4 linked regions of the Danio rerio genome follow. The protein of the gene in region 2 purifies or fractionates together with the protein of the main gene of each other region. This does not show direct contact. Links are inferred from orthologs where the notes say so. Each region holds a gene or a part of one and is shown on either strand. Other genes may lie near its edges.

Region 1 (3,567 bases), on a different chromosome or scaffold from region 2:
GCGAACATCATTTTTTGGGTGCATATTATTTTAGTGTAGGGCCATAGGCTACAGAATGTCTCAAGTAAAGTAACCATAGTTGAAGCTTTCCCATGTTTTACCCTCTATTCAAGTCAAATTCGTTTCATCTACAGATTTTACTCTTCATGGTATATTGTGATTACATATGAATCCAGGCCTTGATCCTTTGCGTGAGAGTCTCCATGATGTTTCGCTCATTGCCACAAAGCACTTCATCTCATGTTTTTTTTTTTTTATCTACTAGAGGCCAGCAGTAATATTGAGCGGTAGCCTTCATCAGGGAGAGTTTGCTTGTGTTTATTTGCAGTGTAACACGGATTGCGTTTGTTTATTCTGGCAGCGCTCCAGAGACTCGACGATGAAGACGGAGGATGAATGAGGATTTACTGACCTTATGGCAATCATGTCGGCCCACAATCGCACAAAAGCCACTTGTGGCCCAAACGCCTCCAGAATGTACGTGTAATGACCACCAGACTTTTTAATGCAGGTACCCAGCTCAGCATACGATAAAGCTCCTGAAATGGACAAAGGAAAGAACTAGTCAGGAAAAAAATGAATACCTTACTTTAGCAAAATGAGGTGATAGTGTCTGGACAATGGCCAGTGCTGGAAAGTGAGTGCCATGACTATTCAGAAAGGTGGAAAGAATTTTACAACACCTGCAAAGCAACCCTAAAGGCACATGGTTAAGTCAGTTCATTACCACCATCTGTTCGCTCTCTGAGAGGTCAAGCTCTTTACAGCTCTATGCATTTTAATGTTTTAACGAATGCTCGGAATCAAAGCCCTTCTTCTCTTGCAGCCCTTGACTCCTGTGAGCTTCAAAACGCAATTGTAAAGAGAGCTCTAAAATACATTAAGAGTTCACAATGCAGATCTGAAGTCTCTCAGAGAGAAATAGTGGATGAATGGACAGTTTTTTATTATTATTTTTTTTGAACCGCGGCTTGGCTTTTCCTCAAAGCCTGCGGGCTGCTGCACACAAAGGAAAGCTGACAAGTGTGAAATGACTCCTGACATACACATGAATAAACACACTGTCAAACAATGCTCTTCTTATACACAAACTAATTCTTCTCCGACACCCGTCAGCCTTCGCGGTGTCAGACTGTGCTCTCCTCAGCATCAAAGTGCAGCGTAAGACAATATCGGCCTCCATCAAGCACGGATGCACACATTACGCATTAGAGAGGTCATGAGTCAAGGTTCTTCATGCATAAACCGGGTTTCTTTCTTAGTGACTATCAGCAAAACCTGGAGTCTTTAGTAATGTATTGATTTTTTTTTAACTCTTGTGTGCTGTTGGGGATGTTTTCATCAACTCTGGGGGGATTTTGAGTCTTAATTTTGGCCACCATTTTTTTCTGTGTTTCAGCAAATGGAATGCTTTTTTTGTGACATCTTATTTTGACACCCATTTGGGGAAAATGCTTTGAAAATGTAAAAAAAAAAATCCAACAAAACACTCAAATTTACTACTCTTTTATTATGTCAGTGGCTGTTTTTGCCCCATTGACTTCCATTCTAATGACATTTTTGGATTGCAAAGCCATACAATCATGCATTTTTTAATTTATTACTTGCATAAAGTGTACAAACTAGTAACTAAAAAGTAAAAACCTGTATCTTTTGAAAAGGAGACACCCTAATGACATCTTTATTTAATATACTTTAATTATCTGTAGTGCATGTACAGTGCTCAGCATATACAGTATGCAAACACCCTTACAAATCTCTCACTTAAATTAATATTTTATATAGGAATCTTCACAATATTACAATTGTGCTTATTTATTAGTTTAGCCACAACTGAAGCCATATCTGGAGCTAATCTAACAAAATAACTTGTAATGGTGCAAAAATATGTGTACACCCATTTTTAAATGTTAGGGGAAAATATAAAACATAATTTTCAAAAATAGCACAAATGATATTGTGCAACAAAAGATATATAAATATAAGTTGAAATGTTGTAGTTTGTATTTTTTGCATTATTTTGCATGAATTTAAATGTCGTGTCTTTCCATTTCCAAAGATGTTCTCTGACTAAAATATTATTTTAATAAAAATATCTATTTAATAAATCTGTTTTGTTTAATTCCACCAATATATATTATCCAAATTCAATGAGAAAAAAAAAAAAAATTTCAAAATGGAGTGTACTCATAAATGCTGAGCACTGTATATGTAGAAATTAACTATGAATATATGCATACACTAATATATACACATATACAAACAATATAAAAAAATGGAATATTTTAACACATGTTTTCCCATTAATTATCATTCACCCATATTTGTGGTTCACATTTGTTTTCCATGTATTTATCCTTGCAATTTTAAGCTATTGATTTCTGAGCTGACAGGAGTACAATATTACAATAATAAAATAACAGAAAGAGATGCTGTTACATACAATTTATTGTTTTAAACTACTAAAATGGTCAATAATGTCACATTAACCAATTTTATTTGACATAAAGGATTGCTAGTAAGCAGAAAAGTATACGTTATTATTATTATTATTATTATTATTATTATTATTATTAATAATATTATTATCATCATCATCGTCATCATCATCATTATTATTATAGATGATATATGACAAATTATATTTTATGACTTGTCGGTGGGAGTTTTTAAACTTGACTTTGGGGAAATGATTAATATGTAATTTTGCAATGTAAGCAATGAGCACCTTATCCAAGACATTGATTACATTTACTTTTTGGACACACAGCTTTGTCCTCAGTACTGTAATTCAAAATAGACATTCTCATTCTTCTAAATGTGATATTAGTCATTTAGTTAATCCTGTGATTAAATAAATAAATAAATAAGAGCATATACAGTAAAAGTAAGAATCATTAGCCCTCCTGAATAATTTGCCCTTCCTATAAATAAAATAAATAAATAAATCAATCAATCAATTAAATAAATAAATAAACAAATCCTCCCTAAAATATTTTTTTCACCAATTTCTGTTTTTTTCAGAAACATTTCTAAACATAATAGTTTGTTTTATACTGTATAGACAATCTGAAAAACAAACATTGCTTAAGGAGGCTAATAATATTGACCTTAAAATGATTTAAAAATAATAATAAAAGCTGCTTTTATTCTAGCCAAAACAAAACAAGTAAAGTTTCACCAGAAGAAAAAAATATTATAGGAAATACTGTGACAAATTCCTTTGTTTTGATAAACACCATTTGGCAAATGTTTGAAAAAGAGAAAAAGAAAATCACAGGATGCATAATAATATTGACATCAACTGTATGTTGATATTCATTATAGTTATTGTGTGTGTGATCATGCCAATTTTTTAAAGATTATTATTATTATTATTTATTCTTATTGTTTATTTTTATTTCTTTGTGAATAAAAACCTAAATTTCTCTGTTCCTCACACTATGCAACTATAAAAGTGCTTCAGAAGAGTTTGATCACACTTTTTTTGTCATTTTTTGTCAGCCTGTTGTCTACATTTACTTTCATTGTGTGGAAGAGAACAGCTGAGACCTGCAGAGTTTATTT
Region 2 (4,256 bases):
AGAGAGAGAGAGAGAGTGAGAGAGAGAGAGAGAAAGAGATTTTGTTTTACAAAAACTTTATTACATTAAAACAGACACAATATTACTATAAATTAGTCCATTCAATTTAAATCAAAGAAAAACTATACATTTCAAATAAGTGTAAAAACAACATTGCTTTCATCTACGCAACACAAAGCATTATTATAGCACCAAATATTTTCGAAAGTTTCCAAATCATCCATTTGTATATAGTAACTAAACTCTTGCTTGAAGAGAGACAGACTCTTGCTTGAAGAGAGAGAGAGAGATAGAGATAGATAGACAGACAGACAGACAGACAGACAGACAGACAGACACAGACAGACAGACAGACAGACAGACAGACAGACAGACAGACAGACAGACAGATAGATAGATAGATAGATAGATAGATAGATAGATAGATAGATAGATAGATAGATAGATAGATAGATAGATAGATAGATAGATAGATAGATAGATAGATAGTGTAAATATAAAGAAAAAGCTCAACAAAATAAAGAAGTTGATTTAAGTGTGCTTCACGTGCTGAAAGAGAAGCCAAAATACTTTGATTGCCCCCTGGTGGCCGGCTGCAGTACAGCTCATAAACCACACACTCTCACTGTAAACTTATGGGACATGATTTTTATAACACTTATTTTTTCCCAAAATAGTTTTTGACATTTTTATTAGCTTCTTTATGCTGATGTTTATCAAATTGCAAGTATTTAGTTAAATGTTGCTGTAGAAATGGAGTGTGGTGGATTGAGTGCTTGTGATTGGATCTAGCTTTGGTACCTGCTGTGCAGACTTTTGGCTTCATTTTCTTAAATTTAATTAATTATTTTTCAACAGCAGAAGTAAATGTAGATGCATCGATCCGAGGTTGCCACAGCGGAATTAACTTATTCAGCGCGTTTTACGCAGCGGATGCCCTTCCAGCCGCAACAAATCACTGGGAAACATCCATAAACACTCATTCACACACTCATACACTATGGAGCATTTCACCTGTACCGGATGTCTTTGGACTTGTGAGGGAAACCAAAGCACCCGAAGGAAACACACTTGAACATGGGGAGAAAATGCAAACTCCACACAGAATCACCAACTGACCCAGCCGATGCTCGAACCAGCAACCTTCTTGCTGTGAGGTGAACGTGCTACCCACTGCGTTGCCAGAATCAAGATTCAGCAGGGGAGAATGACAGATTAGAGACGTAATAGTCCACCAACTGCTATATTTAACCCAGCAACAGAAATAAACGTTAAATAGACAACTAAAGGTATAAAAGGCTCTTGAAAATATATAAAACACTCACACTGGCTCACTGGGTTAAAATAAGTCAATAGAAGGGTTAATGCATTAGGGGGCAGTGAGGAGCAACGTCAGCCCATTTGTCAACACGAAGCAGCTCGAGCGTCGGAAGTGACGTGAAAATCGCATTGTGGTTTGTTGATGTTTGTGTCAAACTCTCGGTCGTTCGTTGTTACTAAAGAAAAACCTCGAAACCGGAGGAATAAAGTCGAACTGTGGTGATTGTAGCAGTTCACTGACACCTCGTATTATGCAACTATACATGCGGCGAACAAACTGTTCATAAAAAATCAAAACGGCCGTTTATTCTATTGCGAACTCGCAACAACACAAATCACCGCAAGCTGGCCAGCGATGACAATCCTCCCGAAGAAGAAACCGGTGTCCGCAGGCGGTGGCGGTGATCACACGGACGAACCGGACAGAAGAGGTGGCTCTGAGACGCACCCTCACCCCCTCGCGGGACGACCGGGGTCCCGATCAAGGGCCTCTCCGCCGCCGTGGACATACCAGGCCACACCGCACACTTCCAGAGAGGAGCGGCGGATCGAAGCAAGCGCTCGCCCGCAGGCGGCCTCCCCGCAACCTGGTATCGCTGGAGCTCCGCTCGTGCAGTGTGAAGGAAGCGCGAACTCGGGAACTCGGGTCGAGTTACCGTGCGGAGCAGGCGGTGTCGGAAGCTGCTGCTCGGGACCCGGACTCAGCAAGCGCAGACGGCAAGCGGTCTGCTCCAGCGGTTTGACAGGTGGAGGAGGGAGAGTGGGCGGCGGAGGAGGAGGAGGCGGGAGTCCAGCGTCCGAACCCGAGGAAGGAGCTGGAGGAAACAACAGTGAGGATGAGTATGAGAATGCGGCCAGACTTCAGCTTGTGGACCCCGCCACAGCCGAGCAGGTATGTTGATGTGTCATTCTTTAAAACATTAATTGAATAAATAGCTGCTGCTCCAGTAATTGATAGAAAGGTTTAATACCTTCTCTTGTCTTTATTGGCTGTTATATATCAAATTATTATGTAAATATTGTAATACATTAGTGTGTTTAAATCTCTACAATGTCTCTACAGTCTCTCTACAAGGGTAAAGACTCAATCACATTTTTACAATGAGGCCTATTTAGTTTATCAGTTCACCTTGACCAGTTCTTTGGACTGTGGGGGAAACCAGATCACTCAGAGGAAGCCTACCCAAACATAGGGAGAACATGCAAACTCCACACAGAAATGCCAACTGGCCAGGCTGGGACTCGAACCAGTGACCTTTTTGCTGTGAGGCGACAGTGCTACCCACTGAGCCACTGTGTCACCCAGATATTGGCCATTTCTAGTCTAATGTATTCAATGACTAAGAAAATTAGGATTTTTAATGTATGACTTGTTTTTATTTCTGTCTGAATTGTCTGCAGATTTTCTCTGGATTTGTATATCAAAAAAATAAATCTGTTTAGTGTGTAACAAAAGGTGACATTTACATGTTTGAGCGAACGCTCAAAACACTATTATTTTTAGGGTTCAAATGTTTTATTTGGATGCTTTGTCTGTTTTTGGTGATACAAGTATTCATTGTTGCTGTAATGTACTTTGTTTTTTGGCCTACAGCAAGAAGAATGGTTTGAGAAAGCATTGAGGGAAAAGAAAGGCTTTGAAATAAAAAAAATGAAGGAAGATGGAGCGTGTCTTTTCAGAGCAGTTGGTAATGTTGCAAATTAAATTTTTTTTTTTTGAGTTCCATATATATTATGAGCTGAAATAATATTTTCCGTGTTGGAGTAATCATGGAAATAAATGTATTCAAATAATAAACAGTGTATAATTTATTTTGTTTGCGTTTTATATTGTGTTAGCAAGAGGTGTAACAGATCACTGTTGATTCCTGATTGGTATGGATCATATCCCATGGTTCGGAACGCACACATTAAAATACTTTTTTTAGTGGTAGATTAATCATAAATTTGTAATGGTCACAGAGAGATCGCCTCTAGCGTCATTCAAATCACATGTATAAAAAGATTTAGGCTTTCCTGTAAATATAATGATAAGTCGTGTTAGGTTATTCAGGATGTGGTGTTTTTTTAAGGTTATTAAAAGTGTTTTCTTTAATTTTTTTGTTTAGCCTGCATTAATCCATTCAGTGTAAGCAGCACTATTAATCATTAAAAGATCGGGATCTTAGCACCCATGCAACATCAATTATAAATGATGGTGATTTGCATAGGTTTATTAACCCTTCGAATCACCAAATTGAAATCTGTGCTTGAAAAATGCAAAAATCAAGAAAGAGATTCAGTTTTTAGTCTTTTGACTGTTACAAACAGGCAAATAACACAGAAGTACTCGGATAATAGTTTATAGTTTAGATGAAAACACTGATGTTTATGGTAAAGATTAAAATCACTGTCATTTGTTTAAAAATGAAAGTTGTAAACAGCAATTACATTATTTAACCAATAGGTAGCCAACCAACCAGCCATCAAAAATATGCCACTGAATAATTCTTCAAAAATGACACATATGGTAATGAAACATGAAGTTTTATTAGTAAATAACTGCATCATTTATTGAAAATGAGACTAAAAATAAATATGAATTGCACAAATAATGTTAGATTTCTATGTGTAGCGTTATCAGCTACAGTAGTAGTAACAGGGAATTTTTCACAGTACTGAATATTTTACTATTTATTTTTATTGAGCTGATTATTTCTATATTTTATTTTTAATAAAATTACAGGTTCTAGGTTCTGTTTGCTAAAACCAAAAGTTTCTTGCAGTACTGTTTTTGTAATAAATGGAAAGCATATTACATTTGTCTCCTCCCCTTTTTGGCTGATCCGAAAAATGGTCCGATCCATGACTAAAAGGTCATAATGTGATCTGAACCGTGAGATTTGTGATCCGTTACACCATTAGTGTTAGTACCTTTCTAAGTGCAGTCTCTACAA
Region 3 (4,280 bases), on a different chromosome or scaffold from region 2:
ATTTAAATGTTACAATTTTTTTTATTTATTATTTAAATGTTAAAATAAAATCTAATTTATTATTTAAATGTTAAAATAAAAATGTATTATTTAATTGTTAAAATTAATTGAATTATTTAAATGTTAAAATAAAATGTAATTTATTATTTAAATGTTAAAATTAATTTTAATTTATTATTTAAATGTTAAAATAAAATCTAGTTTATTATTTAAATGTTACAATAAAATGTAATTTATTATTTAAATGTTAAAATAAAATGTAATTTATTATTTTTCATGTTAAAATTAATTTTAATTTATCATTTAAATGTTAAAATAAAATGCAATTTATTATTTAAATGTTACTATAAAATGTAATTTATTATTTAAATGATAAAATAAAATTGTATTTATTATTTAAATGTTACAATAAAATGTAATTTATTGTTTAAATGATAAAATAAAATTTTATTTATTATTTAAATTTTACAATAAAATGTAATTTATTGTTTAAATGATAAAATAAAATTTTATTTATTATTTAAATTTTACAATAAAATGTAATTTATTGTTTAAATGATAAAATAAAATTGTATTTATTATTTAAATGTTAAAATAAAATGAAATTTATTATTTAAATGTTAAAATAAAATTTTATATATTATTTAAATGTTAGAATTAATTTAAATGTATTATTTAAATGTTTAAAAAAACTAATGGAATATTTCAATAATCATCTAATTGTTATTTTGTTACCCACTTATTTTTTCCCAAAAAAACCCCACAGAGAAATATAATGGAGACTGTAAATAATTCAGCGCTCTCCTCACTCTGCTTCAAGCGCGCCAAACCCACGTGCTCTGCTGGAGTTCGCGCGCTTTTAAGTGACACTAGATGGCGGGAAAGAAGCCGTGCGCGTGAACGTCAAGAACGCGATGAGGTTCCCTCCAGGGCGGGGATTTCAAGACAGAGCTCATCACGTGACCACATTAACGTAGATTTTATTGGACGTATCCTACATGACGTCACTGCCAGGGCGGGAGTTTTCCGTGAGGGAGGGAAACGCAGGAAAACAAAAGCGTAATAAACACCGCACATGCGATTAAAATCCAACCTACATGCGGATATAGTTACTAAACAAGCACAGATGCCCGTCTCGTGTGTAGCTTGAGCTCAGCATTTTGAACTTTTTGGATGATCACGATGTTTAGCACATAATAACAATTGAACATTTGTAAACAGTCACAAAATGGCAGCATAATTAAATAAATATATGCATTTATAATTGAAATAAATAAATAATAATTAAATGGACAGCCTACAAGTTTGTGAAGTAAGCTAGATGTGCTCAAAATGAACGCGTGTTTTAATAAATGGAAATAAATGTTAAAGGGACGCGTATATATGAGAGGGGGCGGGGCTTCAGCGGACGCACATGCGTGATTATTCACTGCATTCACAGCGCGAAAGAGACCGACAGCACTTATAACGGCACTCAGGCATTTTAAACCGTAGTAACCGTCTTTTTAAAATTTGAATTTGAATATTTTTGAATTTGTCTCGCCGTCGTTATTTTTCTGAGCGTGTATCGAGTGTGTCGTGCTGTGAAGAACAGAAACAGTAGAGTGAAAGTGTGTATAAGTGTGTGTGAGTGAGTGAGAGTGTGTGTGTGTGTGCGTGCGCGCGCGCTGCTGGACTTCAGTGTGTGTGTTGATGTGATATTATGGCGGTGAGTCTGGATAAAGACGCTTTTTACCGCCGCATCAAGCGACTCTACGGCAACTGGAAGGTACGGAGAGCTCAGTGTGTGTCATAAACACCACAACATCTGATTATTGATCATATTCGATCATATTTATCCATATCTGATGTGTTTATGTGCGTCTTTGATGCTGAAATCCTCTCTCACACACATCTCAGGCCTCAGCTCTACAGAACTGTTAACGTTATATAAACACACTCCGCCGGTTGAGTTCGTGTTTTAGTGTTTATGGTGTGATTTCTGTTCGTTTATTAAGAAATAACTCAACTTTGCTGTTATTTTGAACGTTCATGTGTTGATTAGCGCAGCGGCTAACTGGTTAGCATGCTAGCATGTAATGCTTCCAGTTTTCACGTAATTTCCGCCTCATAATAAATCTCGTGTGTAGCATAAACACACGTTAAACACACAGACAGTGTGTTTCGTTCATGTTCTTGTATTGGTTTATGGCTGGTGTGTTTTTCGAGGATGCAGAAGTTGTGTGAGATGTAGCATGTAAGCTAGCTTAGCTCGTACTAAGACATGCTGCAGGTGGGAAACAGAACTGTTAGCATCAACTTAAGTGTTACTTTGTTGTAAACTTGAGTCTAAATTGTGTTTAAAGGGTCTGATGACTCGTTTCCTGAAGAAAATTATTGTGCTTTATGCTTATTGTTTTACATATGAAGGGTTTAGATGCAAAAACCTATCAAAGACATCTGATATTTTCTTCTAAAATGACCATTTTTCTCCAACTCCTGTGTTTAGGCTAGGTAATTTTACTTTAATAGTGACAAATAAGTTATTAACATTGCCTTTAAAGTGAAAAAAACTGAACATAAACAAGAGGCTGAAATAAATGTTCAGTTTAGGAGAACATCTCAGATAGCTTTGAGGTTTTTGCATCTGAACTCTTCATATATTCTATAATCACTTCGCTATAATATGATACCCTGGACCACAAAACCAGTCAGAACTGTGTGGTTAAGTTAACTGAGATGTAAACATGATCTGAAAGCTGAACAAAGCTGCCTGGTAATGTGTGGTTTGTTAGAAAATATACAAAATATAGCACTTCTGATGCGCAACCATTGAAAAATCTGAATAGAGGTGAAGTTGGTTTTATATTGGGATATTCAGACATTCTCCTTAATATAATTTCAGGAAAGTGTTTTTTGCAAATTTTAAATAGGGAAATCATATTAGCAGCAAATTAATATCAAAGTGCAACACTGTTTACAGTCAATTAGATAGTGTTACTGTTATTTTGAAGTCATACTTGCATGCTAATTCCAATCGAATATTCAAAGTAACAGGGAAAACAATATAGAGACTTCTAAATGAATGAATGTGTGAACCAACTTTACCTCTATGAAATTTGAGGGATCAAGTACAGGGTTTCATAGAGGTAAGGTAGTTTTTTTATATTCACACATTCGTTCATTTAGCAGTCTCTATATTGTTTATTATGTTAATTTAAACATTCGATCAGAATTAGCATGCAAGTATGACTTCTAAACAACATTAACACCGTCTAATTGACTGTAAACAGTGTTGTACTTTGATAGTCTTTGGTCGCTTGTATTATTTCTTTATTTAGAATTAGCAAAGAATACTTTTCTGAAAATTATATTATTAAGAAGAATGTCTGAATATCTGAATATAAAACTAACTGCACTTCTATCAGGGTTTCTGAGAGGTCTAAAAGTCTTCAAATGTCTTAAATATCAAAATCCAGATTTTAATCTTTGAAGTCTTAAATTTACTACAATATTGTGTTGTAGGTCTTAAATTATTTTTTTTTTAAACAGGTCTAAATTTCCTTTGTTCAACTATTGCTGCTCAATCTGGCCCAAACCCATACATTCACCAACAATCATCTCAATATAACTTTAAACTTTATTTAAAAGGTAATTTTTGAAACTTTATCATAATGGTTTAGTTACTTTCCTTACAATAACATGTTTAAATGTTCTCCTGAGTACACCGACCTGGACAGACTGTTGCCAATGGATTTTGTTTATTATAGTTTTCAAACCGTTTGTTCATTTTTTTATTTTAAAGAAATATTATGTTCGGGGAAAAAAAAGTGTATGGAGACAAGCAGAGCTTGCTTGTTTTTACACAATATTTAAAACATTTAGCTAAGAAATAAAATCTAAAGTATATAAATTGTTTATTATTACTGTATTATTAAATGTATTAAATTGTAATAAATGTTTTTGATAGGTCAAATAATTTTTTTTTTTCCATCTGGGCCATTTGAAAAATTCCTTAGCCTTTAGCCCTTTGTAAGTCTAAAATTTCATTCATAATGGTCTTAAAAATATCTCAGTCTTAAATTTAATATACCACTTCTGATGTGCAACTTTTGAAAATCTGATATCTGAGGCATCGACTACAGAGTTTCTGCGAGGTCTTCAAATGTCTTATATCTCAAAATCCAGATTTTAGGCTTTTTTAATATTTTTGATGGGTCAAATAAAAATATTTTCCACCTGGGCCATTTGAAAAATTCTTTAGTGTTTAGCCCTTTATGTGTCTAAAATTTCATTAATAA
Region 4 (4,092 bases), about 28 Mb from region 2:
ACTAGTGATGACTTTTACAAATTAGTGATGACCTTTGGGAGACTAGTTATGATCTTTACATAATAGTAATGGCCTTTGAGAGACTAGCAATGACCTTTATAGACTAGTGATGACCTTAGGGAGACGTGAGATGACCTTTGAGACCACTGTTATGCTGACAATACACTCTATATCTCCTTATAACCCGATAATAAGTTTTAATCATTATATGAGATGCGCCATCCTGAGAACAATAACACCTGTTGATGCCTAGTCTGTCAAAGTTCACCACAACATGCTTTTGAAGTCAAACACAGCAATGAAAGACTGATGGAGAGACGAGGATTTGGACTGAGAAGACACAGGTGTAAACAATTAGCAGGATATCCAACCCTGTACAGCTCATCATAGATTCAGACACTACAGACGACCGCACACACACTGATACGCTGACTTGAGGAATCATGCTTGAGCTCTAGACGCCTTATATGTCTATGTCACATGCCTCCCTACTGTATAGTATGTGAAAAACAGGAGGCGAGCCGAGTGTGTCTGAGTATTGAGTAGTGTGTGTGTGTGTGTGTGTGTGTGTGTGTTATATAGATGGACATGAAACACTGTGTAACACTGTTCTGAAGCTGAGTGTGTGTGTATGTGTGTGTGTGTGTGTGTGTGTGTGTGTGTCTGTCTTTGAGAGAGAGAGAGAAACAGAGATGTGGTTTTCACAGTCCCGTTCACTTCCTGCATGCACTTCCTCTTTCTCTCCAAAACTGACACTCAACATGACTTTCTTCAGAAAACACAAAGCAGAAAACACAGCACAAACTCTCCAAACTACATGAAGAAAACCAGAACAGAAGAGCACACATCATAAACCAATGAAAAACACAGAGCAGTGAAGCCGCTTCCTGCCACTGATGCTGCCATTACGACTCTTTAAGGTGAATAATGCAGGTGTATTATATGAAGAAGACGAGCACGCGTGTCTGAACAGCTGTACACAGAGCAGTTCTCAGAGCAGACAGACATATCCCTCATTTCTAAGATCTGTTAGACTACACCGGACACTGTTTCCAGCATCGCTCAGTCAGGTCCACAGTGAGGAGCAGCAGGAACGTATAAAGCAGAGGGTTTCAGCGTGTGGATCTGGACTGAGGACTTCAGAAGCGGCTCCGCTCACCTTCTTGATGTGGTTGATGCGCACCAGCACACCCTGCCCACGGTCACGGAGGATCAGCAGCTTCTCCGCCAGTTTCAGCTGGTAGGCCATGGTGAGTGTGTGTGAGTGTGTGTGTGTGTGTGTGTGTGTGCAGACTGAAGAGCTCGGAGATGGAGCAGAAGTGAAATCTACACGTTCAGCAGGCGGAGGCAGCGCTCCACTTCCGCTCTCAGCTTTCTCTAATCTGAGTTCACTGTGTCGATCCTCTCTCGCCCATCACACTCACTGCTCAGTCTGATGAAGTGCCTTTAAAGGGTTAGTTCACACATAACTTTAACACTGTCATCATACACACTTCCTCAGGCATTTCAAACCCTTAATGAGTTTCTTTCTTCAGTTGAACACAAAGGAAAACCTGTAACCATTGACCTCTACAGTATTTATTTTCCTACAATGGAAGTGAATGGCTACAGGTGTTCAACATTCTTCAAAGTATCTTCTGTTCTGGTTGAGTGACGCGTCAGTGTCTGTCCTGAGACTGCACACATTACTGACTCACAGCTGATGTTATGTGCAATCTGAGATTTCAGGATCTAATAACCCTAACACAACCACATCTAACCCAGCACATGATGAGGCCTTCACCTGTCTGTACCTGCTGAGACAGAGGAAACACAACACACACTGCTGACACCTGCTGGACACACACATTTTCATTTAATTTTCTCTCAGGTTAATAAGAGTGTCTGTGGCCTCGCCCTCACAGAAATGCACATTATCATATGCTGATGACGTGTGTTGGTGATGTAGCTTTACTACAAATCAAGAATCTTCATTCATCTATAAGCAGATCAGCACATGGGCTCAGCACTACTGCGCTAAACCTGTGACAAGCAGCACAATACAGAGTCACATCCACAAACACCAGCCAACACTGCACTGTGCCAAGAGGAAGCCCTATGTTAACAGTGTCCAGCAGCGCTTCTCTGGGCTGGGAGGCGTCTGGGATGCAGCATCACACAGTGGAGACGTGTCCTGTGCTCAGATGAAGCAGTGTTTCAGGTGTTTCTGGGAGAAATGGACGCCGTGTGCTCCACACCAAAGAAGAAGAGGATCATCCAGACTGACACCAGCAACACGTCCAGCAGCCCGGCTCTGTCATGGTCTGGGGTTGTGTCGGTGCTCTTGGCGAAGGTGACCTGCTCTTCTGTGATGCTCCAGAGGAGACAGACGCTGGACTGACCTGCCTGCAGTCCTGACCTGTCTCCAATAGAGAATGTGTGGCGCTGTACTGTTGCCTACACTAAGACTTGTTTGCAGGAGGAATGAGACAGAATTATCCCTGAAACACTTCAGCACTCGCCGTCTTCAGTCCCTAAACGTCTCTGAGTGTTGTGAAGAGGAGCGGCAGCATGACAGAGTGGGAAACGCTTCACTGATGCAGCTGTTTCTGAAATGTGTTGCAGGAAACATTCATTTATTTATTTTCTTTTCGGCTTAGTCCCTTTATTAATCTTGGGTCGTCACAGCGGAATGAACCGCCAACTTATCCAGCATATTTTTTACGCAGCGGATGCCCTTCCAGCTGCAACCCATCTCTGGGAAACATCCATACACACTCATACACTACGGACAATTTAGCCTACCCAATTCCCCTATAGCGCATGTGTTTGGACTGTGGGGGAAACCGGAGCACCTGGAGGAAACCCACGCCAACACGGGGAGAACATGCAAACTCCACACAGAAACACCAACTGACCCAGCCGAGACTCAAACCAGCGACCTTCTTGCTGTGAGGCGACAGTGGAACCCAAACTGCAAAGTGTTTATTCAGAAAACACAACATAAATGATGAGGAGCACATTAATCATGTGTGCTGAATTACCTGCAGTCAAACACAACTCACAGCACACGTGTTCACACTCACCCAATGTCTGCTGATGTGGGGATGCAGTTCAAGTCGTTTATTAGGGTAATATTGAGGTTTACTGGTGTAAGTGTGTTAGTGAGGTAAGTTTACTGGTGTAAGTGTGCTAGTGAGGTAAGTTTACTGGTGTAAGTGTGTTAGGTGACTGCTGGAAGTGTGTTGTGATTGGCTGAAGTGTGTGAGGGTCTAGTCGTGTCGCTCCGCCTTGAGATCAAACAGGAAGTGAGTTGAGACAGACTGTGAACAGGCCAGAGTTTCTCACACAAACTTTAATGAGTTAAACTTCTGAAATATGAACTGAAATCCTCAGTCAACAGCAAACTCCGCACAACAGCCCGCATCTGAGCGCCGCGGAGCAGAAGCGATGCGCGCTGCACTCTCATAAACTAGTTTAACTAGCTGTGCACGCGCGGAGAAACGTGGTGAGTGCTCAGAAGTGTGTGTGTGTGTGTGTGTGTGTTCAGTATATACAGTGCTCGTAATGACCCGTGTTATGATGTCTCGATTATGCTGGTTCAGCTCGGTGGATGTGTTTGATGACGTGTTGTTGTTGTTGTGTTGTTGAGTCTGTGAGTGTCGTGATTGTGACTGATGTTGTTCTGCTCCTCCTGGGAATGAGCAGCTCCGGCCAGCACTAACAGCGCTTTACCACAGTTTACCTCATTACAGCGGTGCAGGACACACTCCTCCAGCAGCAGCGGGTAAACACATCCTCACACTGCCGCTGAGCTGAAGAGTGCAGAACACGGAGAAGACAACTGCAGGAGCTCTACTGAACACACACACACACACACACACACACACACATCAATATAAGGAGCCTGTGTGGTGTCATATCAAAGAAAATGTACAGTTATTAAGAAAAACACGCTCTCTTATACTATGAACACAGAGTTAACCTCACTGAAACACTTCTACAATTATCACACACTTATAAACATTAAACAGGAGGGAGGATGAACAGCGCACAGTGGCCAGCTTTACTGATGCACCAAATATATATATATATATTTACATGTTGTGTGTG

What was found.
Region 1: the proteins of otud5b (region 2) and slc7a11 purify together in Homo sapiens (affinity purification with western blotting; 3 studies listed by BioGRID, with this or other methods). This does not show direct contact. The link is inferred for Danio rerio from reciprocal best matches to the Homo sapiens genes OTUD5 and SLC7A11.
Region 3: the proteins of otud5b (region 2) and supt16h purify together in Homo sapiens (affinity purification with mass spectrometry; 3 studies listed by BioGRID, with this or other methods). This does not show direct contact. The link is inferred for Danio rerio from reciprocal best matches to the Homo sapiens genes OTUD5 and SUPT16H.
Region 4: the proteins of otud5b (region 2) and cdk4 purify together in Homo sapiens (affinity purification with mass spectrometry, with the first as the bait; 4 studies listed by BioGRID). This does not show direct contact. The link is inferred for Danio rerio from reciprocal best matches to the Homo sapiens genes OTUD5 and CDK4.

What each region holds. Positions count from the first base shown.
Region 1 is NC_133189.1:46,490,512-46,494,078, reverse strand, and holds part of slc7a11 (cystine/glutamate transporter), read right to left. Parts: intron 540-3,567; coding exon 413-539; intron 1-412. UniProt on the Homo sapiens protein: Heterodimer with SLC3A2, that functions as an antiporter by mediating the exchange of extracellular anionic L-cystine and intracellular L-glutamate across the cellular plasma membrane.
Region 2 is NC_133186.1:27,753,119-27,757,374, forward strand, and holds the start of otud5b (OTU domain-containing protein 5b), read left to right. Parts: upstream 1-1,437; 5' UTR 1,438-1,675; coding exon 1,676-2,212; intron 2,213-2,914; coding exon 2,915-3,008; intron 3,009-4,256. UniProt on the Homo sapiens protein: Deubiquitinating enzyme that functions as a negative regulator of the innate immune system. Has peptidase activity towards 'Lys-48'- and 'Lys-63'-linked polyubiquitin chains. Can also cleave 'Lys-11'-linked ubiquitin chains (in vitro).
Region 3 is NC_133182.1:2,043,898-2,048,177, forward strand, and holds the start of supt16h (FACT complex subunit SPT16), read left to right. Parts: upstream 1-1,428; 5' UTR 1,429-1,702; coding exon 1,703-1,768; intron 1,769-4,280. UniProt on the Homo sapiens protein: Component of the FACT complex, a general chromatin factor that acts to reorganize nucleosomes. The FACT complex is involved in multiple processes that require DNA as a template such as mRNA elongation, DNA replication and DNA repair.
Region 4 is NC_133186.1:164,502-168,593, reverse strand, and holds the start of cdk4 (cyclin-dependent kinase 4), read left to right. Parts: upstream 1-1,249; 5' UTR 1,250-1,250; exon of another isoform or gene 1,251-1,554; intron 1,555-3,281; exon of another isoform or gene 3,282-3,487; intron 3,488-4,092.